3 linked regions of the Neurospora crassa OR74A genome follow. The protein of the gene in region 3 interacts with the protein of the main gene of each other region in a biochemical or structural test. Links are inferred from orthologs where the notes say so. Each region holds a gene or a part of one and is shown on either strand. Other genes may lie near its edges.

Region 1 (10,609 bases), on a different chromosome or scaffold from region 3:
GACAGCATGACAGATATGAGATGATTGGTGTATCCTATGAAGCACCGCGGCGAACCAGCAACCTTTTTTTGGGTGGGGGAATTGAATGGGCTGTTCCTTTACCTGGCACTCTTGTAGGAATAGCACTTTTGGTAGATACCACTGAGAACAGATTTCCTCTTTCTACTCAGATGTCTTTCTCTCCTGATCGATACGTCTTATAACACTGATCCGGGCAGAAACGGTATCGGTGTCGATTCAGGACGTACCGAAAGTCCAAACCGCCAATATAGACCGGATGTCGGGCCCTCTCAACCGGCGCTGCCCCTGGTGATCGGTCCTGGACCGGATGAAGACCCCACCAGGCTTCCAATACCCGCAGAAACGGGCAACCTATGCCAAGGGTCAACACCGGGACCCACCTTTTACTACACGACCGACACCCACAGCACAAGTTGAGGCCCAAGCATTCCAGTCGTGGCTCCATTTTCGTCATTCTTCATGACTTAAGTTGTCCGCTTCTCTTCGCGCGATAGCAGCATCTTCTCACTATTCATACTTGGTGACTATCTGCGTCTCCTCCAAGCAGAAGCAAAAACTATCTCGGAAGACTGTAGCAACCACACAGGCGACAAGCTCTCGACAATCCTCGATCCGCCATGAGGCTTCTCGCGTCGCTTGCGTCGGCGCTCTTGGTCGCCGCAACGGCCGCAACGGCTCAGGTCATCACCGTTCCAATCTATATCCAGCCCGTCAGCTCCTCCTCTGTGCCATCTTTCCTCGCCGAAGTCAGTTACGACACCGCACAAGACCCAAGCAGCGCGGTAGCACCGGTGGTGTCTGCCTACGAAGCGCCTGAGATCCTCGACGACTTGCGAGGCCACGAGCTCCTACGTATCGGCGTGTACGACAAGGCGGAAAACAAGTGGGTGTCGTCTACGTCGGTCATATCGGCAGAAAACTTCGGCAAGGGGTACGCGCCACATATCGTGCTATCAGTGGACGAGAGCAATACCGAGGGTAGCTATGACAACCAGCACGTCTTGGGCGTCGCGTTCAAGGGCATCAGGATCGATGCCGGACAGACAAGGGACTTTGGGCCGCAAGCGGTGGTGGTCCGCACAGCGCAGGGCAAGCAGCCGGAGTTGAACAAGCCGGTCGTGCTGTCGCCAGAGGGCAAACAGGTGGTGCCGCAGGAGAAGACACTTTTACAAAAGTATATTGAATTCCTTCCCTTCCCACGTTCTGATACCACTGAGATGAGGGCTTTGATTGCTGACGAGCTGGTTTGCTGCACTACAGGTACTGGTGGGTTATTGCCATTGTTATGGTCCTCTCCCTGGGAGGCGGAGGCGATGGGAAGTAATAGACTGGCCACATTGTTTTCCTTCCCTGGTCAAGCATTGTACAGAGCTTTGCTATGCATTTCATCTCTTGGGTGAGGATGTTCGTTTCGCGCGTTTTGGTTGTATTGATTGCCATTTTTCTCGCAGTGCTCCTCGCCGTCCTGTCGTGTTTGAAACCCTTACCTTACCTACTTAGGTACTCTTCTCATAACCGGGCCGTTTGTACTGTAGAGGTAGTACAGGGAGACTTCCGATTCAGTCGCGTTCCTCATCACCGAGCTTCCAGCTGGTGACTCCTCTGTCCCTTGCGTCAGTGTCTGGCAGGTTGGACGGGGACGCTGCGTGCCGAAGCAAGGAGCCCTGCTAGCTGCCTGCTGCACGGCCCCTAGAGGTACCCTTGCATCGTGGTCAACAGCTGTCTGCTAGTGGCGATACTTATCAATACAGTTTAGCGCGGCTAGCACACTGCCCCACTGCCAGATGGCAAGTGGATCCAAAAGCTAGCTGCCCGCCTCATAATTGGAAAGTGGGTACTTGGAAGCTGTTCGCTGCTCCCATGTCATTGCCCTGCGCGCGCCTGCCCTCGTCGCTCTCTCAACGGACCATACAGTTCAACTTCACCTTGGAAGTCACCACCAACTCCCAACATCACATCTCGGAACTTTTCTCCCCCCCACTTGACTTCACCTCTCAAGCGAAAGGAACTCTCTCTTGACAAACCCAACTTTTGGTCGCGTTCAGCCTCATTAACAAGAACTAATAACCATTTTTTGGAATCTGTTGATCGGATCCATCTGCCATCGCCAACGCGCAAAGAAAGACAATAATCACCATTTTTGCTACTTAATCCATCTCGAAAATGTCCACCGAGAACGGTACCACTGACACCACCCTCGCGGGCACCGCCGAGGCCAACACCCCCTTTGAAAGCAAGGGCAAGGGCAAGGCCGCCGCTGAGTCCGAGGACCACCCCATGGGTGAGGCAGAGGACGACGAGGATGATGAAGATGAGGATGAGACTGAGGTGAGCTAAATCCTGAAGGCATCAAACTTGCTTCTCAAAACACTCTTCTTCGCATTGTCCGTGCTAACCCTTCCGTTTGCAGGAGCCCGAAGCTGGTACGTTAATTGCCTTTAAATCCATCAGCCAACGCCCAATCACGGGTGACGATCGCGCAGCAACAGCTTACGTACAGGAACTAACATGAACAAAAACAGAGGAAGACAACCTCGAGGAGATCGACCCCAGCAATGTGATCAGTGGTCCCCGCACTCGCCAGAAGGAGATCGACTATGCCAAGGCCGCTCAGGACTTGCCTGCCGAGGAGGACGATGAGGAGGACGACGAGGAGTTTGTGCCCGAGGATGAGGAAATGGAGGAGTAGTCCGAGGCTATCTTCTGATTTCCTTTGATGGTTCACAACAACAACAACAACAACAACAATGACAACAGATTCTTGTTTTCTTTCTTCCTGGGTTTCCCCGTTGGCTCTGCGCTTTGCTCGCTGCCAGTGGTTGAGTTTTATGATGATCACGAGCTTGGAGATGTAAGCCGTCTTTTGGCTGATTGCTAAGCCTGATTGGCTGGACCTATTTATGTACGTGAATGTCAGCTATAAGGCCTGGGGTTGTTTGGTTCAATGCGTTGGGAGTTCCCACAATCAGAATTTGGCAATACATGATAAGGGTGTAAGTGATCATTCGTTTATCAGTTCAGGTAGACCGATCTCTTCTGTCAGCCAATTTCAAAGTATCAACATACTACGTACGTTGGTGTATCAGAATACGCTTGATCGCTTGTCTTCACTAACCTAACCCCCATAAGTGGAGACATTGGATGATTCCCCTGTCAGCTCAAGGGCAGTTGGCCTGTTGAGATGGGGTGCCACTAAACTAACCGCGAGGCAGCCTGAAGGGGGTGATATGTCTACGGCTGACCTATGAAAAGGTAATATTCCGGCGAATTCTAGAGTTGCTATGACCATCGAGATTTGATATCGGTCCTGTTCCTGGAGTACACAGCAGACGTCAGGAACCGGAGCATCGCACCAGCCACCAACAAGGTTCGCGATCTTGGCCTGATCCACCGGGTATTCTACGCAGTACCATACACCAGCTTCTTTGACGCCAACATCTGTGAGAATGCATGCCTTCGACTTGGAAAGCTTCAACGATTCTGAAAGTCTCGGATTTGGGCTTAGATTCGCTTCAATAAGTCCATACTTGAGTCTATGCGCCTTGCGCAATCTAACGTGGATCAACTTATTGCTGACGCGACAAGCTGAGAGAGAAAAAAAAAAAAAAAAAAAAAAAAAAAAAGGTAGAGGAAGAATGGAGACGCTGAACGCCCAATTAGCCAATATCAGTGGAAGCAACACGGGCACCTCTCGGAGGGACTTTGAACAACGCCGAACATGAACCCTCCGACATAAAGAAAAATTGAATGATTAAAACCAGATACATTGGGGAAAATAGTGTCAAGTTCTCTCGGAGAGGAAGACGTGACACCAACCCAGATGTTCAATCAACGTGTCCTTGTCAGCATCATGCGGCACGAACAACATTGTACCTTTTAGCCATTACATATGTATCACCCAGACACGGACTGACGTTGTAGTTTATGTACATGGACGGCGCACCAAGGTAACATCTGGCCAGAACAGGCCTAACAACCACCCAAACTAAAAAGGGGGATCTGCCGGCGCTGGCGGCCAAGGGTCCACGGGCATTCAACTTTATTTTCTTTCTTCACCACCCGCACACCCCCCGCCCGACGCTACCTCTATGGAACCTGCCAATTCATCATCTCTAATACCTACCCACACTCTTACAAGTTAGCTAGCATTTACCTGTCAGGATTCTCGAAGACGGATCGACCTAAATTTGCTCTCCATGATGGCTTCCAGGTGAGTGCGATTCTCTTGTACGTTCGTCTTAGCATTGCACCACACCACACGCAAATGCCACCTTTCACATTTCGAAATGCGACTTGGCCTGTCAACTCGACCAAACCCACGACCGACACGCGATGAAGCGAGCGGCCGACCGAGCTGCCCGGCTCCGGTGAACGGGTGTACGATATTGCCACCGGAAGATATCTGCGGACCAAAGGCAGCAGCTATCGATGTTATGGTGGTTGGTTTGACAAGTCACGATTTCTCGACCTGCCCCCCCTGGTCATGGCGCGACGGCCTCAACTACGTCATCGCTCTGGTTTCAGAGTCTCGCCAACACGCCTCCAACCATGCCATGGTAGGATACGATACGAGTTCACTACCGTGATGTGATGCAGTCGCAACAGCGGCGCAACCACAGCAGCACTGGCGACGAGAGCGAGAATGACAGCGAAACCGAAAGCGTCAACTCGATCCATCCACCATGCCCCCGGGTCGTCCTCGATTCGACTTTGACCACCCACCACAACCCCCATCCCACCAACCCCTTAATCCTTCGAACAAGACAAGACAACACCCTTCTAACAATTAGTCCGCTTTTCTTTTTCTCCGGAGTACAGATTTGCACATTCCTCTCTACACCAGCGCGACCCGCGCAGCGACCTTTTCAAGGGCTACTCTGGCTCCAGCGCAGCCGAGCGCCGCTCGGCCAACGCCAGCCCAGCAAGGTATGGCGGTGGCGGCGGATACGGGTACGGGGGCGGCTATGGTGGCGGTGGGAGTTATAACGGCAGCTCGTCAACACTGGGGATGGAACGGGGCGGGTTTAGGCCTGCTACTCCAAATTCAAGGGGCCAGTACAGCGACGCAGTCCTCAACGAACTCGAGAGCCAGAATGATGAGCAGGTGGAAGGGATAATGGGTAAAGTCAAGATTTTGAAGGATGTATGTTTTTGTTCTCTCTTTCTGCTCTCCTCCCTCTCTCCCACTTCCTTCTCTCGCAAGCCACCCATCAACTAACCCCATCCCTCCCCCACAAACAGATGACTATAGCCATCGGCGATGAAATTCGAGACTCCTCCGCCCTCGCCGAGAAGATGAACGAATCCTTCGACCAAACCCGCCTCCGACTCCGTGGTACCATGAACCGAATGCTCATCATGGCACAGAAGACCAATGTCGGGTGGAGGGTGTGGCTTGCCTTTTTCGCTGCCGTGGTGTTCCTCTTTTTTTACGTGAGGTATCTCTAGTATCCTTCCAAGGTCAAGGTTTTTCTGAACTTGGAAGAGAGAAAAAGAAAGAAAAGAAAAAGACAAAGATGGAGGGATATGTTGGTCGGCGGAGTGGTCCTCCTGCTGCTGCTGCTGCTGCTGCTGCTGCTGCGCGGGGCAAAGCGATATGTTCAAGAATGATGGAAACGAGAAAAGAGACCATATATATGCAAAGGAAAGATGGGATAGTATATATATGGCTTTAACGATGGGTAATACCAATGGATGATGAGGAAAACGGAAGGTTCTAGGTCAAAGTGGCTGACTACCTTGTGGGATAGAAAAGGCATGGATATGGGTTGCCCTTGGTAGATTGCGGGCGGACTTGGTTTTTGCATGCTGGCGCCGGGGAGTTCGCGTTTGTTAAGTCGTTCGGGTAGTATCAGAAGTCGGTTTTTTTTGGTTTTTTTGTGGTACCTAATTATTTTAATCATTCTTAATCCGTTCTCCAACCAATGAGGTTCAATTATCTGGTTTAATCCACTGATCAATCATGAAGCTATATATGGGCTCCCACAAACGTGAAGTGGATAATCATTGAGCGTATAACAGACAGTTAATCAGAACTGCGTGTAGACTACCACTGCATAGACCAGACCATTGCTGTAACGAAGATCAAAGTTGTCTTTTGACGGACATTATCTATTCAATCCTGCTTCCCAAGCCACCAAGTAGCTACCCATACTGCCATGATCCCAAGACTCCATGCGCCAGACTCAAACGACCTGTTATTGAATGATGCTTGCTGACCGTTCCTACCACAACTCCTCAGTTTTAATCCTCCCTTGTTTCTCTTTCCGAACCACCGCGGACCTTCATTCTAGTGCAACCTCCTCACCCTTGGACTGCTTCTCATCATGGGACTACTCTCATCAACAGACAACAGCCCACTGATATCCAGACTGCTCCTTGGCGCTCCAATTGTGCTCCGCCTGGCATTTCCCGCAAGACTAGTCCTCAACAGCCGCTGCTGCTGCTGCTGCTGCTGTCTTGGCAGTGATACGCGGCGATGCTGGCCCTGCGCTGATCCCGCTGCCGAACCAGGTCCGTAGCTAACCCGGTGAGCGCGTCTGTGACTGCCGCTCATATTACCACCGCTACCACTGCTGCTTATGCCGATGCCTGCACCTGTACCGACTTGCTCTTGTCCTCCCTCGTTATCACTGCTGTCAAGAAGCTCCGCCTCGGAATCGGTATGCTCATAGAAACCGCTTTGCGCACGCTCCTCGTCCGCCTCTGGAATGTCGTCATCTAGGTTGGCGTTCATGCCTAGACTGTCGTCCGTCATGCCTCTGTCTTCGTCCGCATATTCTCCGCTGTTGTGAGAGCCGATGATGTCGTCCTCCTCTAGCATGTGAGCTTGGTCTTCCTCGTCAACGTCGTCGTCTTCGTCTGCGGCGCCATCGGTTAGATTGACGTGCGTGGGCCGGAGACCACCGCGGGCCATCATCTCGCGCATGCGTTCTTCGTTGGCACGCACGTTGGCTAGCTCGCGCTGTTGCTGTTGCTGCTGGTGAATATTGCTGTTGTCGTTGCGCCCGCGGGGATGGAGGATGGAGGAGCCGGTGCCCGTTGCTGTTGATGCTGCTTGTGGGGCTTCGACTGTGTCTTCGTCGTCGTTCCCATGATCGCCGGTGGTGGTGTTTCGTTCGGTGGTGGCTTCTTCTTCTTCTTCCTCTGCTTGATCATTCTCCTCCTCTTCTTGCTCGTCTTCTTCGTTGTCATCATCGCTAGCCCCATCATATCCAAACCCACCCTCGTCCGCATCCGGAATGTCCTCGTCCAAATCCCTTCCTCCCATCTCATCCATGTCATCATCACCCCCCATCAGTTCCATGTCACCATCATCAGCACCACCAGAAATTCTATTCGTATTTCCCACGTCCCTTCCTTCCACGCCAGCAACCTCCTCCAACACCGTAGTCCCATTCCCATCACCAACACCAACAACAGCACCGATGTTACCACCACCGGCAGCAGCAGCAGCAGCAGCAGCCGCTTCCGCCTCCGCCAGCTCCCCAGCCAGCATCTCCTCGCGCCGCATCGCCTCTTCGTGCTCCTGCCTCTCGCGCTCCTCCTCGCGCATCTGGAACAACGTCTTGCTCACACCAAGTGGCTTCAGCCAGGTACTACCCAGGTTGCTCACGTTGGCTTTGCGGCGCTCCATGTACGTCTCGTCGGCGCGAAGGCGGCCGAGCAGGGAGCGCTCGATGATGGCGGCTTGAATGTTGCGGGAGGCATTTCGGCTGTTGTGGCCGTGGACGTGATTGCTGCCAGTGGTCGTCCCAGGGATAACGTTGCTGGTTTGTGAGTTGGTAGTAATCAGACCCTCTGGAGAAGTGGAGGAGGAGGATGGGTCGAAGGCTGAGAGGAGGTTGGAGGTTGAGGATGCGAGAGGGTTGCGAGAGGAGGTGTACCAGAGGGAGTGGGACTGTTTGTCTGGCGTTAGCAGTGATAAGCAAATTGAGTGCTAGGTAGGATTGGAGGGGTCAGGTGTGATGTGGGAATGGTAGGGCTGAGTAGAGCAGAGCAGAACAGAGATAAGGTATCAAGACTTACATCGCGCGGGGCCAGGTCAGGGAGGATGGAAAACATACTGGCTCTGTCGTTAACGAGCCTTCCGTTGCAGGATTGCTCGAGTTGTTGGTTGGAAGATCGTTAATTGTATCGCATGCAAAATTTGAGCTGCGACTGGGACCGCGACGTCTTGCCTGGTTTAGCTGTGTATATGTAGGCGAAAAGTTTAACGTGAGGTTCCGAGGCTATCCAGGGCGCGTTGATGGGGAAGTTCGGTGATGATGATGCTGTGGTTGTTCAATGAATGCCGGTGGATAAACGGCAAAGGTATGATAGATCAGGATGAATGGATTTACTGGTTCTGTATGGAACACTACGATCTGACGTCTAACCAACCTAAGCGGTGGTAAAGTGCATTGTCGTGAATTCAGCTTCTCCAGAGTACGGTCCATGTTTTGGATGAGATCCCTAGCAAACCTTCGTGTCCTTATGTATTTAAAGGTACAGCAGCGGTACAATAGTGCCCAGCACGTATGCGCAGTGTACGTGTAGTGTACAGGTGAGTACGTAGGGTACCCCATCTGAGCTTTACCCCACGATCGGATGCGGCTATGTAGAAGTACACATGCTGCTGCTGCTGCCCTAAGAAGTGATCTTGTTAGGTAGCATTTCATGGAACCTGAACAACTGGACTCATCATTCTTACCTCTAGGTACCTCTAGGTACACTTATCACTTATTTACTTACTCGGTCTGATTGCATTGACCAGTTCACACAGGAGCCTTTACCATCGCTGGAAAGCAAATGTCCAAACGTCCGAACGTCTCAGCTTCAAGATCGCTCATTCCACTCTGCACATGGCGTTATTACCGGGGCTTTTTTTTGGGGGGTCACTACACACTCATACCCGGCAAGTTGCTGACCATCACCAACTACAGTCACTTACATAGAGGTAGGATTTCATCAGATAAACAGGTGCTGTCGACCCAGAAGTCACGAAGCTCTCAAAAGTCTGGAAGCTATTGCGCCGATCTCCTGGTTTCGTCCGGTGGCCGTCTCTGGTCAGACATGGAAAGCCAGCCACACAGATCGCAAACAGCAAAGAACAAAAAAAGAGAACAGCTCCAGGCGGGACAGGGCCATCTAGTGTACATAGTATGTATGTAAAGTAGTACACTAGTTTTCATGAGGTAATCGGAGAGACTTCAAGCGAACTGGTCTATGACCCTTGTCCCTACCGCAGTCTTTACTATGTTACACTAGACTACTGCATGCTGTTAAAATGCTTGTATGTGGTAGTGCAAGATGTTAGCGCCTTTCCATCCTATTTTTTTTTTTTCCTTTCCTGAGCGGGAACGTCTAACATCCGACCTACACTAGCTGAGGAGCTAGCGCACCCCACTTCTTCGCTCGGGCGCTTGAATTATCGGGAGTTTTCGGAAGCACATTGAAAGTTATTCGCACTAATGCTTCTGTTCCGACCTCATTCGCGAGTGTACACTGTCGAAGGGCAGAGTGGGTAGTTATTGTCTGTGATGCTATACAGTAGTGTAGTGTAGAAATGCCTTGAGGATGCCCGCGCCTGTTAGCCATGCTACTTTGTCTTTTGTGATGCCCTAAACGAGGGGGAAAGGCATTACTCTGTGTTGCGAATGGGCGTCGAGCTTATCAGGCTGTATAGAATACAAGTTTATCGATATTGGATTGGCTCGCTTCCGGCTGGTTCATCCTCAAAACTCAAAGTCCGGGGGCGTTGTGTAGCAGGTTGCCGATGTCGGTCGGTCTTTGCATAATCGACTCCTTGTTGAATGTGGTGAGGGTGGTGTGAAGTCGAGAAAACGCCAAGGCTGCGTAGCTCGATGATGACTCTGCCAATATTCCCGTCAGAGCGCAGCAAGTTTCCGGAATCAGGTGTTCGAAAGAGGAAGAAGGGAATTCCTCGAAACAGATACGTACGATACGTCCACTTGAAATGGTTACTACTGTTAGCTTAGGTAGTCTGCTTCGAATGAGCCGGCGCGGGCGGTTGTCTTTCAGTCAATGCATCTCTGGTTTCTTTCTTTCCGCGTTCAAGTGCCATCTGCGAAAAAGAGTACGTAGGTAACCCCCACTTCCCTCGTTTCGGTTGGACACCATCACGGGTTTTATTCACGGCCTTTCTTTTTTGGTTTTCTTTTTTCCATGAAATACCACGGTCCCCTGTCTGATTTCGCTGGGTAAATGGTGCCCCATTTTGACACCCCCCTCCCTCCCCCCCCCCAAAACAGCTGCTCCCCCGCCTTTGAATATGCCCATTGACACTACAGAAAGGAGCGATGCACAGACGTCACCTTACAAACTTTCCTTCCATATGTTGGCCCCGTGTGGATGTGCGGCAGGGAGGGCGAGGAGCGACGAAACGGAATCACTGTTTACTGCAACATTTGAAGCCCTGTTGTGAGTAAAAAAAATGCTGTGTGAGGCGGCTTGTCCTCGATATACCGCAAGGTGCTCTGGCCTTTCATTAAAGTGGGTGACGTAGTCGCAGTGGGCTATCTGCCAGTTGACCCTCCCGACTCGAGCGGGTGAAAGTGGACGGAGACCCGCGATCTCATCGATCATA
Region 2 (4,107 bases), on a different chromosome or scaffold from region 3:
TTCTCAGCGAAGCGGCTCCGGCGGCCTCGGCATTTCTACCGACAGGCCCGGCCGCGACCGAAACGTTACCACCAAGTGTAAGTGACCCAGCTTGGGCGAAGGTTTTTACGGCGCTCGCGTCGTTGAGAATGAAAACGAAATCTGTAAGCTCGAAACCGATCTGACCGCCGAAGCCGGCACCACCCGTAGCAATGGCGGTGGGGGCAGACCAGCTGCCGTCGGGGAGGCGGGCGACTACCAGGCCGCTACCGAAACGGGCAGATCCGAGGAAACCAGCTTTGATGACGGTGAGTATAGCAAGACCCTAGGAGAACGTTAACCACCTGGTCGCTTTCGTTGAGGTTGCGGATGCTGTTTCGTACCTTGGCATTCGCGAGCACTGATGGCGGTATCACCTTGTCGGGACCAAAGGCTTGTTTGGGCTCGATGAAGGAGGCGAGGATTTTACCGCACTTCTTACATTCCGCTGGTTACAGACGTGTTAGGATGTCGGATTCGGCGAAGCGAAGGGGAGTTGCGGGGTCGGGCTCGCACAGCACGGGAACCCCGGGGACACAAACTCACACGAAAGTGACGACGGAAGAGGGTTGTTGATACCCATCTTGAAGTGTCGAAGCGGAACTCCCTATAGCGGACTGGCGCGGGTCTTGAAGGGCGAGGGCGTGTAGAGCGGCTGCGGTGAGAATGCCGTGGAAATGCGACAGCGACAGCGAAATATTAGAAAGAAAGAAAGAGATGGAGTTCGTCAGTCATTTCTCGGGACACTGGCCGATCAATGCCTGCAGGCACACTGGCAGGCAAGCAAGTAAGCAGATCAGCCCGGTCAATTTCTTGTGTACATAGTAAATGCGAGGTTGGTACCTGGGCGTCCCCACAACGGCGGTTTGTCAAGATGCTGGGGAGATCCTTGGGGTCACTTGTTGTTCGTGATGAACGATCTTGTTCCCGGAGGATAAGCCTTTGTGCGTGCTCTTTTGTTGGTGTAACTGTCCGTTTGAGAGTTTGTTTTTTTCCCTCTTCTTCACAGATCGGAGTAACTGATGAGCGAGGCTAAACAGTGGCATGGAATTCATCACAGTCAACATTTGAAATGGAAGTACTTGGAAATGGAAGCTGGAGCTCGTGCCGCGCGTCATGTGAGAACTGTAGCACTGGACCCTCAATCACTGGAGACGCTGGGATGGGCTTGGGCAAGCACTGCCGCCGTGGGCTGTGCAGTAGCGTACACTACTGTACCTCTACTTCTCTACTTTACTCCGTCCCTGCGCCCTGCACCTTCCACTTTGAATACCCGGGCCTTGTCCAGCGGGCAGAGCAGAGCGGGCGTTCGTCGTTACGTAGGTGACTGACTGACGGGACCCAAAGTTGCAGTGGCCCGACCACGAGCACAATCAAATGGCTCCAGCAGGCTCCGCTCCCCCCGAAAAAGACCCCGCATTGACCATGCATGTGCTTTACGCGCAGCCACACGTAAATGGCCGAAACTGACATCATTCGCGACTAGGAGGCCGTAGCTGTGGCTGGTGTATGCATCAACAAGCTGCAGTGAGCCGGCCGCCCCCATCATGATGGATGCATGATCCCGGTGTCCTTTCATTGTGACCCTGAACTGAGTGCATCTGGAACCTGCTACAACCTACCCCCTTTTGACATCCCCATAGCACTCAGCAATACCTAGGAACACCACGGCTTCACTCCGAACAACGGACGCTGCAAGACACCGAAGCCGACCCCCGCGCGCGCGACAAAATAACACGTAATAACATCTTCGATAATACGAAACTCGGGCCATATCAGCGAGTTCCAATTAACCCGATACTCAAAACTGACGAGTGAACCTCCCACACGGCCGCTGAGCGAGTCGCAACATACAACTACGACCACAACACAACCCCCCCCCATTACCATTATCAAGATGTCCGCAAACTACGAGCGCGAGCGCCAAAATAATGCGCGCCTCGACGAGCTAGCCTCCAAGGTTTCTGCCCTTCGAGGTGTAACGATTGACATTTACGACCAGGCGCGCAACCACGAAGTTATCGACCAAACGGTACGGTTCCTTTGATTTTACTCTGCACAAAATAACAAACTGACAAGTCCCACCAACAACGAACAGACCGATACCTTCTCCTCCATGGGCTCTCAACTCAAAGGTTCCGCCACCCGTCTAGGCCGCATGGCCGCATCGGGGAACAAGGTCGCCATTCTCAAGCTCTCGGGTATTCTTATTGGGAGCTTCCTGGTCATTTACTATCTTTATCGACTTTTTGTTGGTTAAATGATTCAAAAAGTCACGACGTGTGAGAGGGCTAAAGTCGTTTGAATATTGGGTCTATTGGGTCTATTGAACTTCGACATGCGAATACATGCCAGGAAGCAAAAGGAAGGGAGGTTCTCTTCATCGGGTTCACTACAACAACACAGGGCGAAGGATGTAGAGGGCGGCACGATTCGATTCCCGACAAATATCAGGAATGATAAGACGGATGCGTGCGAAGCCGGACATCAAGACAGGATGGAGCTTGTCCGGATAGCTTGTTGGATGTTGGAGTGCTGGTACAGGCGATGTGCAGTCCGCTTGCTCCCACAAAAGCCGCTACTAGTATTGCGCAGAGGAGGTGCAATGTAGGGTGGGGCAATGGGTGGGAGGGTAGCAGGTCACGCAGGACCGTAGGTCTGTGTTTTGGTGGATTCTGAACGAAGTGTGGATTTTGGTTTACAGACTGGGCTTAATGTTTTGTCTCGACAACAGACGGGTAGATGCAAAGGCATAGCAATGGCGTTGACGGTTCGGTTTTGTTTGTTTATTTGGGATTTGGTTTCTGCGTACCTTAGGTTGTCATTGATACGTCGTGTCGTATAAGCCAGACATCGACATTTCTCAGTCTCATCCTTGATTTTTCATTTTGAAACTTCAAGGACATCAGAAGGACATTAATGAGGGCAACACACACCTTACAAAAGATAGGAGGATCCTATATAAAAGTGCATTACTTTTGCCCTACCAACGAACAATAACTTGTTGTCTATAATGTAAATATGCCAAAACAAAACATGACTTGCTGATGTAAGAATGACTGCGTTGTTCATCATTCCCCTATTTGTCACGCATAAACCATCATTTGCCTAACTCTTAACTAGATCAGACTCCCACAGCATAAGTACGACATGGTGTTCGTGGATAGCATCCCCTTTCCAGTCAGGTGGTATAGAAGGAAAAACAAGTTCGGACGCTTGATGGGTTTGGTTTGGTTTGGTATAAGTTTGTCCGAGCTATTTCTCACATCACCTGCCGGTTGATTATATATTTACATGGTCGGCATCAGGCGCGAGGACAACAGCAAAAATCCCAGTAGACTGCACTCGGTTACCTCTGAACCCCATGTCGGAGATCCCTGAATTGTCGTTCTAAGGTTTCTTATTGCCAGACGTTTGAGAACAGGTCGTCACTGCCACCAAAACCGGTAGCCGGCTTGGATCCGCTCGGAGCAGCTGGTGTGGTAGTGCTGCTCATCCAGCCCCCAAACTCCTCATCGGCCGCCACCTTTGGTGCTGGGGCAAAGCCGCCCGAAGCGCTGGGGACAATAGGTTGGCTTGCGAAGGAGCCGCCGGTAGTGGAGGAGGTGGTGGTGCTGTTGCCCCATCCAAAATCGTTAGAAAGAGGGATAGAGGTAACAGGTGCTGGCTTGGGCGGTTCAGGAGCCGCAGGCTTGGGGGGCTCAGGGGCGGAGGCCCACTCGTTGGAACCCCATACACCTGCATCTGACCAGGCGTTAGACGTCGCAATAGAGGCAAGAGGGTTTGGTGTTGTTGAAGTAACGGCTGCAGGGGCCGGCGTGGTTGCGGCGGGCTTGGAAAGGTTGAATGCGGAGCTGAAGTCAGATGAAGGCTTCGGGGCGGCGGCCGAGGGAGGAGCGGTAGTAGCAGTAGCTGTTGTGGAAAAGTCAAACAGGTCACCGAGGGCGGAGGAAGCGGGCGCGGGCTTAGAGGCTGGCGCAGGAGGAGGGGTTGATGAGAAGCCCAGTGGGCTGCTGATGGACTGCTTGGATTGGTGGGAGGATGTGGCGGGCTTGGAATCGAAGAAGCTGCCACCGCTTAGGCCGGAAA
Region 3 (10,021 bases):
CCGATTTTGTTGTGACGGGAGCGCTGAGACAACGGGTTTTGGCCTAATCAGAGGGTACCTAGGTACGTACCTCTACAGTCCCCTACATATCAAAAATTACAGTACCACGCTGTTCCCTCCCGTGAACACCATCACCATCACCACCTCAGCCCGGGCCACTCTTGACAACAGAGTCCTGTGGTAACCTACGACAGACCATACATCAAGTATCACCTTGGTTGGGCTCAAGTGGGACAAAAACCTTCGATCTGTTCTCCATCTGTCACCTCTCCCAAGATGCCCGAAGGAAATGGCGCCCAGCGCCAGCCTGCGCGGCAGGAGGAACAGCAAGGCGTAAGTTATCAATCCAAAGCTGGAGCGGTGTATCATGGAACAGTTTCTGACAGTCTCGGGTTAATCAGTCTTCCATGTTTTCCAAGATCCTCCAGGCCGTTGCAATGTGGGTCTTGATGCAGCTTGTCATGAAGCAGTTTATGGGTGGTGGACAGAACACAGCAACAGTTCAGGATGCAACCGGTCAGACCGTCCAAGTCTCGACAAGCGTACCCTCGTACGACCAGCGCCCTCAACGGCTCGATGACGGTACAGTCTACAACCGGATCCCCCAGCTCATTGCGCCCATCTGGCCCGAGAACAGCCAGGTTGATATCATAGTCACCATTTCCCCGTCCTTCGTTCCGACCCCGTTGAAGCAGACCTCGGCGGATAAGGTGGTGTTCCGAGAAAAGAAGTTCACAATCGGCAACTGGAGCGACGCGCGCACTGAGGAAAGGACCATCGACATTCCCACCGAGGTTCAGAAGAATGGCACGCTTTGGGGGCATTTCTATGTTGGCTTGTCTGGTGCCCTCCTCGACCCGACCCAGCCAAACTACGATTCTGGATCGGCATACCATTTTGTGTGGCCATTAACCCACTACATTCCCCGAAAGAAGGAATTCAAGACCAGGAACCTACTTGCGGGCAAGGAGGATGCTGTTGAGGAGGCGGAGGAGGTGGAAGTAGAGCAACCATCGGGACCCATCATCACCAACTACTACCACCCCAACATTTCGCTCTCCTTCATCCCCAATACCGGTTCCATGCCTTTTGCCCAAACACACCCAGCTGTCCGCCAGTTTCTCCGTCTCGAGGCCACCGGTGCAAGGGACGGCACCGGTCAGAACACTTGGTACTACCCGATCCTCTTTGTCAATACCTTCTGGCAGCTTAAGAGTCAGATGACCATCATCAACGAGACGATCAAGACCATGCCGATGCGCATTGATCTAAACAACCTGGCGGAATGGAAGTTCAAGACCATGGCGTCTATCGACCTCAGCGCCAAGGAAGCGGCGCGTGCGGCGGCTTTCGGAAATCCCCTGACCACGGGCAGCGATGGTAGCGAGATCGAAATGATCAAGGAAATCTTGCTGGATTCGAATCCCATCCTCCTCGGAGTCACTATTTTTGCCAGTATTGCGCACATGATTCTCGAAACGCTTGCGTTTGGTTCCGACATTGCTCATTATCGCAAGAAGAAGGACAACGTTGGCATCTCGGTGCGCTCCATCCTCGCCAATGTGTTCATGCAAACCATCATCTTCTTGTATCTGGTCGACCAGTCGCAAAATACTAGCTGGATGATTCTCGGTTCTCAGGGCGTCGGTATTCTCATCGAGTTATGGAAGATTACGACGGTGGTTAACGTGCGGATTCGGCCTGCACCCGGATCCATCATACCATACCGTATTTCCTTTGAGGACAAGCATAAGCTCAGCGAGACAGAGGAAAAGACCAAGGAGTACGATGAGATTGCTTTCAAGTACATGTACATGGCGGGCGTTCCTCTTCTGATGGCTTATGCTATCTACTCGCTGATCTACGACACCCACAAGTCGTGGTACTCATTCGTCATCGCCACCCTTGTTGGCTCGGTTTACGCCTATGGATTCCTGATGATGGTTCCCTCGCTGTACATCAACTATCGTCTCAAGAGCGTTGCTCACATGCCTGGCAAGGCCATGATGTACAAGTTCCTCAACACCTTCATCGACGACTTGTTTGCTTTCACCATCAAAATGCCGTTCCTCCATCGCCTTGCTACGTTCCGCGATGATATCATCTTCTTTATCTATCTGTATCAGAGATGGGCTTACAAGGTCGACTACACCCGTGTCAACGAGTTCGGACAGGGTGGCGAGGATGACGCCGTCGAGGAAAAGAAGGCGGAGGGGCAGAAGGCGGCATTTCATGCACCGACTGAAGAACAGACTGTGGGAACTACATCCGCGAAGGCTAGCGGAACGGAGACTGGCAAAGCGAAGAAGAGGAAGTGAAGCTGACGAAGCACGATATCGGACCCGGTTTGGTATCAATTTATTCATGGGAAATGGGGTTCAGCATCTTGGAGAATGGCGCCAAACATCCCAGCAAAGATAGATCAATGTTAATACAGAATGAATTCTTCACCTGTTGGGGAGCTGGTGCTTCTTGTGGATGCTTGGGTCTTGGATGCACCCACGGCTGATCAATGAGTGATGAGCCTGTATTGTGAGAGATGGGCGTGTGCCGAACTGCAGTCATAATGTCGTAAAAATATAGGGATGTGTATCGATACCTCCATGTAACAGTCCAAAAGTGTCCATTGTTGTACCCACCATGCTGTCGGTCATTCCCGAGCACCTCTGGTTAGGTTGTAGGGCTGAGCCTTTGGTAGGTTGCAACCGTTATCCATTGGGTACCTAGTAAGATACTTTCCCCTCCCCGCCGTCGAAGCTGGAGGCTACAAGCAGAGGTAGATGTCATCGCTAAAAGCTGGTTTTAGGAAACGAAGGGCTTCCTCGGGGAATCCCACCTAAAATTAACGGAGTCGGATGTAGAGAGGCCTCCATATGGGCCTCTAGTGTACCGACTCTAAGCACCTAGGGAGAAATGCTCCCCGCCAAGATCTCCACGATTTCCACGTTTCGCAAACAAAACCGTCCCCGAACCCCCGTCCCATTCATTGATTACCCATTCAGATGCGCTACTACAGCAGGGGGCCTGGCCCTCCCATCACCAACAATACGAGTCAAAATAACCCTAGTTGATGAGCACCTTGCTGTCCTTTTACAGGGTTCCGTTTTGAAGAGTTTGGATGGCACCCGTTGTTCCGCTGCCACACTGCAGCAACTTCTCCCCCGACCTGATGCAGCTTCCTGTGTTGTGTTTGTACGTAGTGGTAAGTACCTACCTAAGGTAGTGTACAAAAAGGCAGCGGACTAGCTTCCACGTCTGCCTGTCTCCGCCAAGGAGAGATCCACAGGGCCCTTCCAATAGCCTAGCAGTGCCCGACATACCTCTAGAGGAGGTAGGTCCCGCCGGCGTAACCGTCGGATCGTATCCAAGCGCCCGGGCCCCGAACCCCCGTTGCACGACGATTCGACATCCATTGATCCATCCCCATTTCCTTCCTGGGCGACCGAGTCTTCCTTCCATGTGATGTTTCGTTCCCTGGCTGGCCCCTTTCTCACATGTCCAACTCTGTGATGAAATCCTTCTTCAGCTCATCCGTACTTACAGCTACCGGATCGGGGCTCGGTGTATCCACTTAATGACGACGCAAGACAACACTTCATCGCTGCGCATTCGTAGATACCTACCTCCTAGACGGATAGTCTCACCTACAAGCCCCCCAAGCTCGACTTCTGTTAGTGACGAGAGTCTCGTTGGTAGTCCAAGTCTACATCCACTCGCGGTCATCTACTGCTATTAAAGCGGCATTGAGCATACGCTAGGCGAGGGGAACCAAGGCCAATAATAAGCGCTTGAACACGACGACACGACGATAACGGCTTAGACAAAGGATATCAACGGGAGGAGGTGGAGGGGGATCCGATATCAAGAGGTCATAGCCAGCAAAGCAACCATCGCCAAAAAAAGATATGAGTACAGGTCCCAGCACGAATCACGACACGGTCGGGTCGCTGTTGGCCAGCATTGCGACTCACTTGAGCGACTCACTTCGCGCACTCAGATTTGCCGACAAGCGCCACTGGGGCCCTGACGAGTTTGAACAGATTCGCGCCCTTGAAGAAGCGTTGGATGATGCAAAGACAGATTTTCAGGAACTGGGGCGCTTGGTCAATGGGCAGTTTTACTATGAAGGAGACAGGACTCGTAAGTATACCATGATATCTTGAATCTTTTCTGACCCTCACCGTGCTCTTTCTCAGACTCACGTCATCTTTCCTCTGCTGGTGGCTGACTATTTCGCCTGGCACTTTCACTCACACGCCTCCATCACCATCATCATCACTCCTTTCCTTCCCAAAAATCCCACTCAGATAAAGCTTCTCCTTGCCTGCTCTACCAACTAACCCTCTCAAAAAGCCGAGTCCCTCAACGAATTGCGTGCCCTCCTGGTCAAATATGAATTCCACGCCCGCAACTACAAAGACTGGATTCGGCAAGGTGGGCCGATCAACCCAACTTGGCTCAGCGAGACCAAGGAACTCCAACTAGAGCTTCACCGCACGCAATGCCGTGCCTCTCGGCGCATATTCGCGGCCGAGCAGGAAGGGCCGTGGACACGGTGTCTGGGTGCCTACCAGGTGTATCGCCAGCAGCGAAGAAACGAGGAAACTGAGCGGCTACGGAAGCAGAAGGAGGAAGAGAAGCGGGAAAAGGAGATTAGGGAAGGGGGAAGCAAGCAGAGGGACCTCGAAAGTATACCGCCGTGGCAACGACATGAGTATCAAGATCAGCAGCATCCGCAGCAACAACAACAACAACAACAGCAACAACAAAACCGTACAGGGACAACGGACGAGGCATTACGGCCGGCGTTGAGAAGGGGGAGGAGGCTAAGCCTTGAGGATCTGGTTCCATGTTGCAACGCGGTTGGGAGGTTCGAGAGGTTTGGGGAGCACGACGTGGCCTTTGTATGCGACTTTTGCGACGGGTTCATCGTCTGGCCGGATCTACAGAGGATGCCATCTACGAGGGCGGCGTTGGATAAGACGAATGGAGGGAGTGCAAGTACGACAGCAAGTTTCCCGACATCAACGACGATAGCGAGAAACTCTCCAAGAAAGCTCATACTACCGACCATAGTGACGGCCTCATATCCAGCAGCAATTCTGCCATCGTCAACCATCACTACCACCACCACCACCACAACAACAAAAGAAGCACAGACAGAGACAACAACAGCAACAGAAAACACATATCCCCACTGGCAAGCCCAAGGCGTAAGCGCCAAAACAGGCGAAGCTAAGACGGTCGTTTTCGCGCCCTTAGCAATTGCGAACCACATTGCCCCCGTCCCTGGCGATTGGCTGGCGAGGATATGGTGTCCCTACTGCGACGAATACACGTACGTGGACCAGGGTGAGGACAGCGAGGACGAGGTCAAGTGGGCACAGGACGAGAGGGGGTTCGAGGACTTGGCCAGCTTCCAGGAGCATTTGGAATGGTATCATACGGCGTTGCCGGTGCCGAGTATACCGGCGTTATTGCCAAAGGCGGCGGGGAGTTGTTTGATTATGTGATTGAGGCTTGCGGGTGCGTGTGCGGGTGGTTCAAGCTTGGGCTTAGTGTCCAGGGTGTCGGTTTATGTTCTGGATTGAGAACAACAAAATTGAAAAAAAGAAAAAAAAAAAAAAACGGGTTTGGAATTGGAGTTTGGGGGGGCAAGAGCTTCTACTTCAAGTAGGGAAAGAGACCGATAGGCTATCTCAGATGGAGATTTTGTATCATCGCTTGACAGAAATAGCGTGTCGAGCAGAAGAGATGCCGGTCTGGAATGAACCAGGAGATACGCATGATTGAGCATCGGTGACACTGTGGTACAGTCATCCATAGAGACCTTGTCAGGCTTTAGGAAGGCATCGGATGAAGGAGTGGAAAGCAGGAACCTATAAGCAACATGTCTTGATAGCTGAAACCTCACCTGGCCAAACGTCCTTTTGCGTTTGCCCCCCTTTCCCCCCAACCTCCTTTACCCAAACTCCATGCTAGGTCAAGCGCCAAAAACCAATGCCCTACAAACACATATTAAAATAATTACAGAATCCACGTAGGCTATCCGTCACAGCATCATACAGAGCCAGGCTGACTGAGGAAACCCACCCGACGGTATCATGCTAACCCGCTACCGGTGATGCTCCCTGCCTGGGATGCACTCAAAAGAAGAATCTCCACCACAAGAAGAAGATGATAATGGAACCGACCGCCGCAAAGGGGCCGTACTGCTTCAGCAGCAAATCCCAGTTGATCTTAACAGCCGCCCTCTTGTACTTCTTGCTATCGTCCCTCAGCCTACTGCTCAGCTCGCCCATGCGCTCCAGGCTGTCGCCGCGGTACAGCAGATCCTCAATGTTCTTGGTCATGACTTTGGTCACGTCCCTAAGCTCATCATGCAGCTTATCCAGGTTCTGAGTCGCACGCGTGTCGCTGTAAGTCGCCTTGGTGCGGCTGATGAAGCTGTCAAAGTCCATAAAGGCATAGGGCCGCAGCGTCGGGTTCATGAGCTGTGCCGGGGTGTGCGTCGTCGCGAACTCGCCCGCAATGTCGGAAAGGTAGGTGAAGGCTAGCTTGCGCGGGTACGACCGGTCCGTAATGGCGAAGTATACGATGTCGGACTGAATCAGGTAGTGCAGCGTGTAGAGAGAGCCGCTCTCGATGCTGGCTTGCGGTTCCGAGGTGCGCGTTAGGCGGCGCAGAATTAGTTTGACTTGGGACTTGACTTCGCTGAGGGAGGATTCAGTTGCTTCGTCGTCGACGGAAGCGCAGAGCATGAGGCCTGTGTTTTGAGGGGAGGGGTCTTGGTTAGCTACCGGACAAGACATTGACATCTCCATAGGCACACAGATGTTGGTCGAGGGGGTTAGTTAGGGGGGGGGGGGGGGGGGGCACGAACCATCCAGCCGTGCAATTTGTGTTGAGCGGATCATTGTGAAGAATAGGTTATATCACTCCTTTTTCATTGTGTTGTTTTTGGCGACCTTTAGTATCGTTGTGCAACTCGAAATCAAGGCCAGTTCAGTTGCGTGCTTGGATTTGTTAAGTTGGTGTCGTTGGAGAGGACAGTGAACAAGGCAAGGTTTATAAAAGCTTGTGATGACGAGTGGGAGTGATCCGTCAAAAGCAGCCAGGTACGTGGCTTCTACCTAGGTACCGCAACCAACTCGCACCGACGAATTCTCTTGTTCAATTGCATGCTTCTTTCCCTGTCGACCAGCAGACCAGATTGTAATTCGCTATCCTCTTTCTTGTTTTTTTTTTTTCTTTACATGGCTATATAAAGAAAACAAAACATTACCCGTAGGTAGAGTGATGCAATGATTTCGCCAGGCCAACGTGTGTTTCCTTATCAAGGATTACAAGTCGTCAAACGGGACACTGATGACGGTACTGCCGCTGGAAATGTGTTGAAAGTTCACCCTGCAGGGCCTGCAAGTTAGTTTTGTTTAGGTAGTTAAATAGTGCGAGCAGGCAGTCTCGCCCGGCCCGCTATTCACGCCTACTATGCAGTATGTACAAGCTACCTCTAGCTTCCGGGGTGTGTCATGCAAGTGGCTGCCCGGGCTTGGCGCCTTTCAGCTTCCATCCCCACCCATCCTGTCCATCACACAACGACTTGAAGAAGGAGCATCTTCAACCGAACAACATCGGGGAAGGGGAGCTGGAGGTGGAATATCTACCTACTTACCTAGAGGTACCTATCATTCATCACAGTCAGTATAATCCCCCTCCCAGTTCAGAGTGGTGGTTAGATCAAGTTCAGTTCCACCTCGTTCCCTCGCACATCCTCCCAACCTTGCGCGTCAACTTGTACTCAAGGTAGTACCACTTCGGTTCGTTTCGTTGACCACATTTTCACCTGAACGCATCTCATTCTCTACTTTTATAAACCCCCCACTTTCTCCCCTCCCTTCCACCAGACATCAGTTTGTTCGCAGATGTAACCACAGCCATATTGGCCGCATGAACCATCATTGACTTACGAAAGACAAACGGTGACTTTCACGGCGCCATTCTGCCAGTTTCTGCTATCTGGTATTGTTTAATATCACAACAACTAAGTAGTTCCGGATCTGTCTAGATCCAGATCTGACTTGACGGTAATTTTTCCTTTGCCGGCAAACCCACACTGCCGCGTTCGATCACTCCTTGAACAACTTCAACACGCAATAATTATCTTTCCAGAAAGGCGACTAACTGAAGGTGTCCTGAAGGATGGCTGAAGAAGGAAGTAGTTCTCCGCTGTCCTCCGTCCTCTCTTCTCCTCCGGCCTCACCTCCCCGGAGCGTGAGTGGGGACTGGGATGCTATCCTTGTCCAAAAGATTGATACTGCTGCGCAGGTGACTTTGGAGGAGATAGCAGCCGAAAAGTCAACGGTCGAGGAACCAGCAGTTGAGGAACCAGCAGTCGAGGAACCAGCAGTCGAGGAACCAGCAGTCGAGGAACCAGCAGTCGAGGAACCAGCAGTCGAGGAACCAGCAGTCGAGGTACCAGCAGTTGAGGAACCAGCAGTTGAGGAACCAGCAATTGAGGAACAAACAGTCGAGGAACCAACAGTCGAGGAACCAACAGTCGAGGAACCAACAGTCGAGGAACCAACAGTCGAGGAACCAACAGTCGAGGAACCAACAGTCGAGGAGCCAGCAACCAAAAAGACAGCAACCAAAAGGTCAGCAACCAAAAGGTCAGCGGCCAAAAGGTCAGCAACCAAAAGGTCAGCGGCCAAAAAGCCAGCGGCCAAAAAGCCAGCAGTCGAGCAAGGATATGTCAAGGAGCCAGAGGTTCAAGGACCTGAAGAACCTGAAGGAGAACCGGCCACGCCGTTGGCGGCACCAAGTGCTTGCCCTGAAAACAAGACAGAATTTCGACCATCTGATCAGTTAGAAGCTCAGCAACCAGAAGAGAAAGGGTCTACATCCTGGGCCGCCATAAATCTCCCACCACCGAAACTACGATCAGTCAATAAACCAGAAGTTCCAACACGTGAAGAAGAACCAATTGCTCCATCAGCTGCGCCAAGTTCCGTTCCCAAGAAGAGAAAATCATTGCCTGAAGCAGTCAGTTCTAAAGAGGGTGTGGCTGATTCACGCAATATCCTCAAACCAAAACTGACGAGGGGCGCGTGTACTCCTTGCCGTGAGAACAAGCTGAAGGTTGGTCGGAAACTCTGGATATTCCCCGATTGTTTTTGTGTCTGACAGCTGCGATAGTGCCTAAAAGAGAAGCCAATCTGCTCACGATGTTCTGGATCTGGCACGCATTGTGTTTATGCTTTTGAACAGCCGCGAAAAGGAGTTTCAGCAGCGGCTCGCTCAGTTTCGTTCAAGGCTGAGGCCGTTCCAGCGGATGTAGGCGAGCCAAAAGCTTTGAGTCCGCAGGATGCGCATGCGGATTCGGCAGTACAGGACCTGGAAGTTGAGAAGGAAATCGCCACACCGGCAATTAAAGCAGCAACAGTCGCCGATTCCTCGATCAATGGACAGGGCTTCAAAGGTCCGAAAAATGAGGACCCAAGTACAGTGACGAAAAGGGCACGCAAAAGGGCAAGTGGGCAAACGCCAGAGGAAGCCGTCCTTAAAACCGATGCATGGAGTTCGAAAGCTACACGTCATTCTGGAAGCAGTGATGAGCAGCTGGGTACTGAGCTCGGAAAGCGTAAAGCCTCGGACCAGGACAAATCTAGCACTACTAAAAGGCCACGACATGCCGGAGATGCACCAAAGAAAACAAACCTGGACAGAAAGTGGGAAGCACCTTTCGTCTATACCGATGAGAAATCACCTCTTACCAATGCTGATCTCAGAGTTCGTACCTCTTCCCTCTCACAAAAATTATCCCACATCCATGATCTGACACTTGACCATAGGCGATTCTGCTGCTTCCACGAGCATGGGATGTGTTGACACCAGATGAGAGGAAAGACATCCTCGCTAAATTCCCCGACGACAGCCATATCTTGGACCCAGGGACCGAGATTGCCCGACCGGATCTTGTCTCCTTGCGCAACAACGATCACTTCAGATATGATTGTGC

The links.
Region 1: the proteins of NCU06708 (region 3) and NCU01741 form a complex in vitro, tested with the Saccharomyces cerevisiae proteins (4 studies listed by BioGRID). The link is inferred for Neurospora crassa OR74A from reciprocal best matches to the Saccharomyces cerevisiae genes SEC22 and BET1.
Region 2: the proteins of NCU06708 (region 3) and NCU03889 form a complex in vitro, tested with the Saccharomyces cerevisiae proteins (3 studies listed by BioGRID). The link is inferred for Neurospora crassa OR74A from reciprocal best matches to the Saccharomyces cerevisiae genes SEC22 and SFT1.

The regions. Positions count from the first base shown.
Region 1 is NC_026502.1:2,578,464-2,589,072, reverse strand, and holds NCU01741 (SNARE complex subunit), read left to right. Parts: upstream 1-4,002; 5' UTR 4,003-4,217; coding exon 4,218-4,231; intron 4,232-4,839; coding exon 4,840-5,164; intron 5,165-5,262; coding exon 5,263-5,469; 3' UTR 5,470-5,967; downstream 5,968-10,609. Other genes in the region: NCU01739 (hypothetical protein), read left to right, coding at 639-1,195, 1,282-1,345; NCU01740 (histone H2A.Z-specific chaperone chz-1), read left to right, coding at 2,185-2,349, 2,432-2,444, 2,544-2,710; NCU01742 (hypothetical protein), read right to left, coding at 6,311-7,921, 8,050-8,085. UniProt on the Saccharomyces cerevisiae protein: SNARE required for targeting and fusion of ER-derived transport vesicles with the Golgi complex.
Region 2 is NC_026506.1:2,053,293-2,057,399, forward strand, and holds NCU03889 (SNARE), read left to right. Parts: upstream 1-1,307; 5' UTR 1,308-1,915; coding exon 1,916-2,050; intron 2,051-2,116; coding exon 2,117-2,278; 3' UTR 2,279-3,418; downstream 3,419-4,107. Other genes in the region: NCU03888 (DUF500 and SH3 domain-containing protein), read right to left, coding at 1-304, 363-466, 565-601; NCU03890 (stromal membrane-associated protein), read right to left, coding at 3,419-4,107. UniProt on the Saccharomyces cerevisiae protein: Vesicle SNARE required for retrograde transport within the Golgi complex.
Region 3 is NC_026505.1:4,346,427-4,356,447, reverse strand, and holds NCU06708 (protein transporter sec22), read right to left. Parts: upstream 7,080-10,021; 5' UTR 6,918-7,079; coding exon 6,884-6,917; intron 6,767-6,883; coding exon 6,147-6,766; 3' UTR 5,773-6,146; downstream 1-5,772. Other genes in the region: NCU06710 (ClpTM1 domain-containing protein), read left to right, coding at 277-333, 402-2,318; NCU06709 (hypothetical protein), read left to right, coding at 3,906-4,140, 4,354-5,513; NCU06707 (uncharacterized protein), read left to right, coding at 8,203-9,141, 9,199-9,792, 9,855-10,021. UniProt on the Saccharomyces cerevisiae protein: Nonessential SNARE involved in targeting and fusion of ER-derived transport vesicles with the Golgi complex as well as Golgi-derived retrograde transport vesicles with the ER.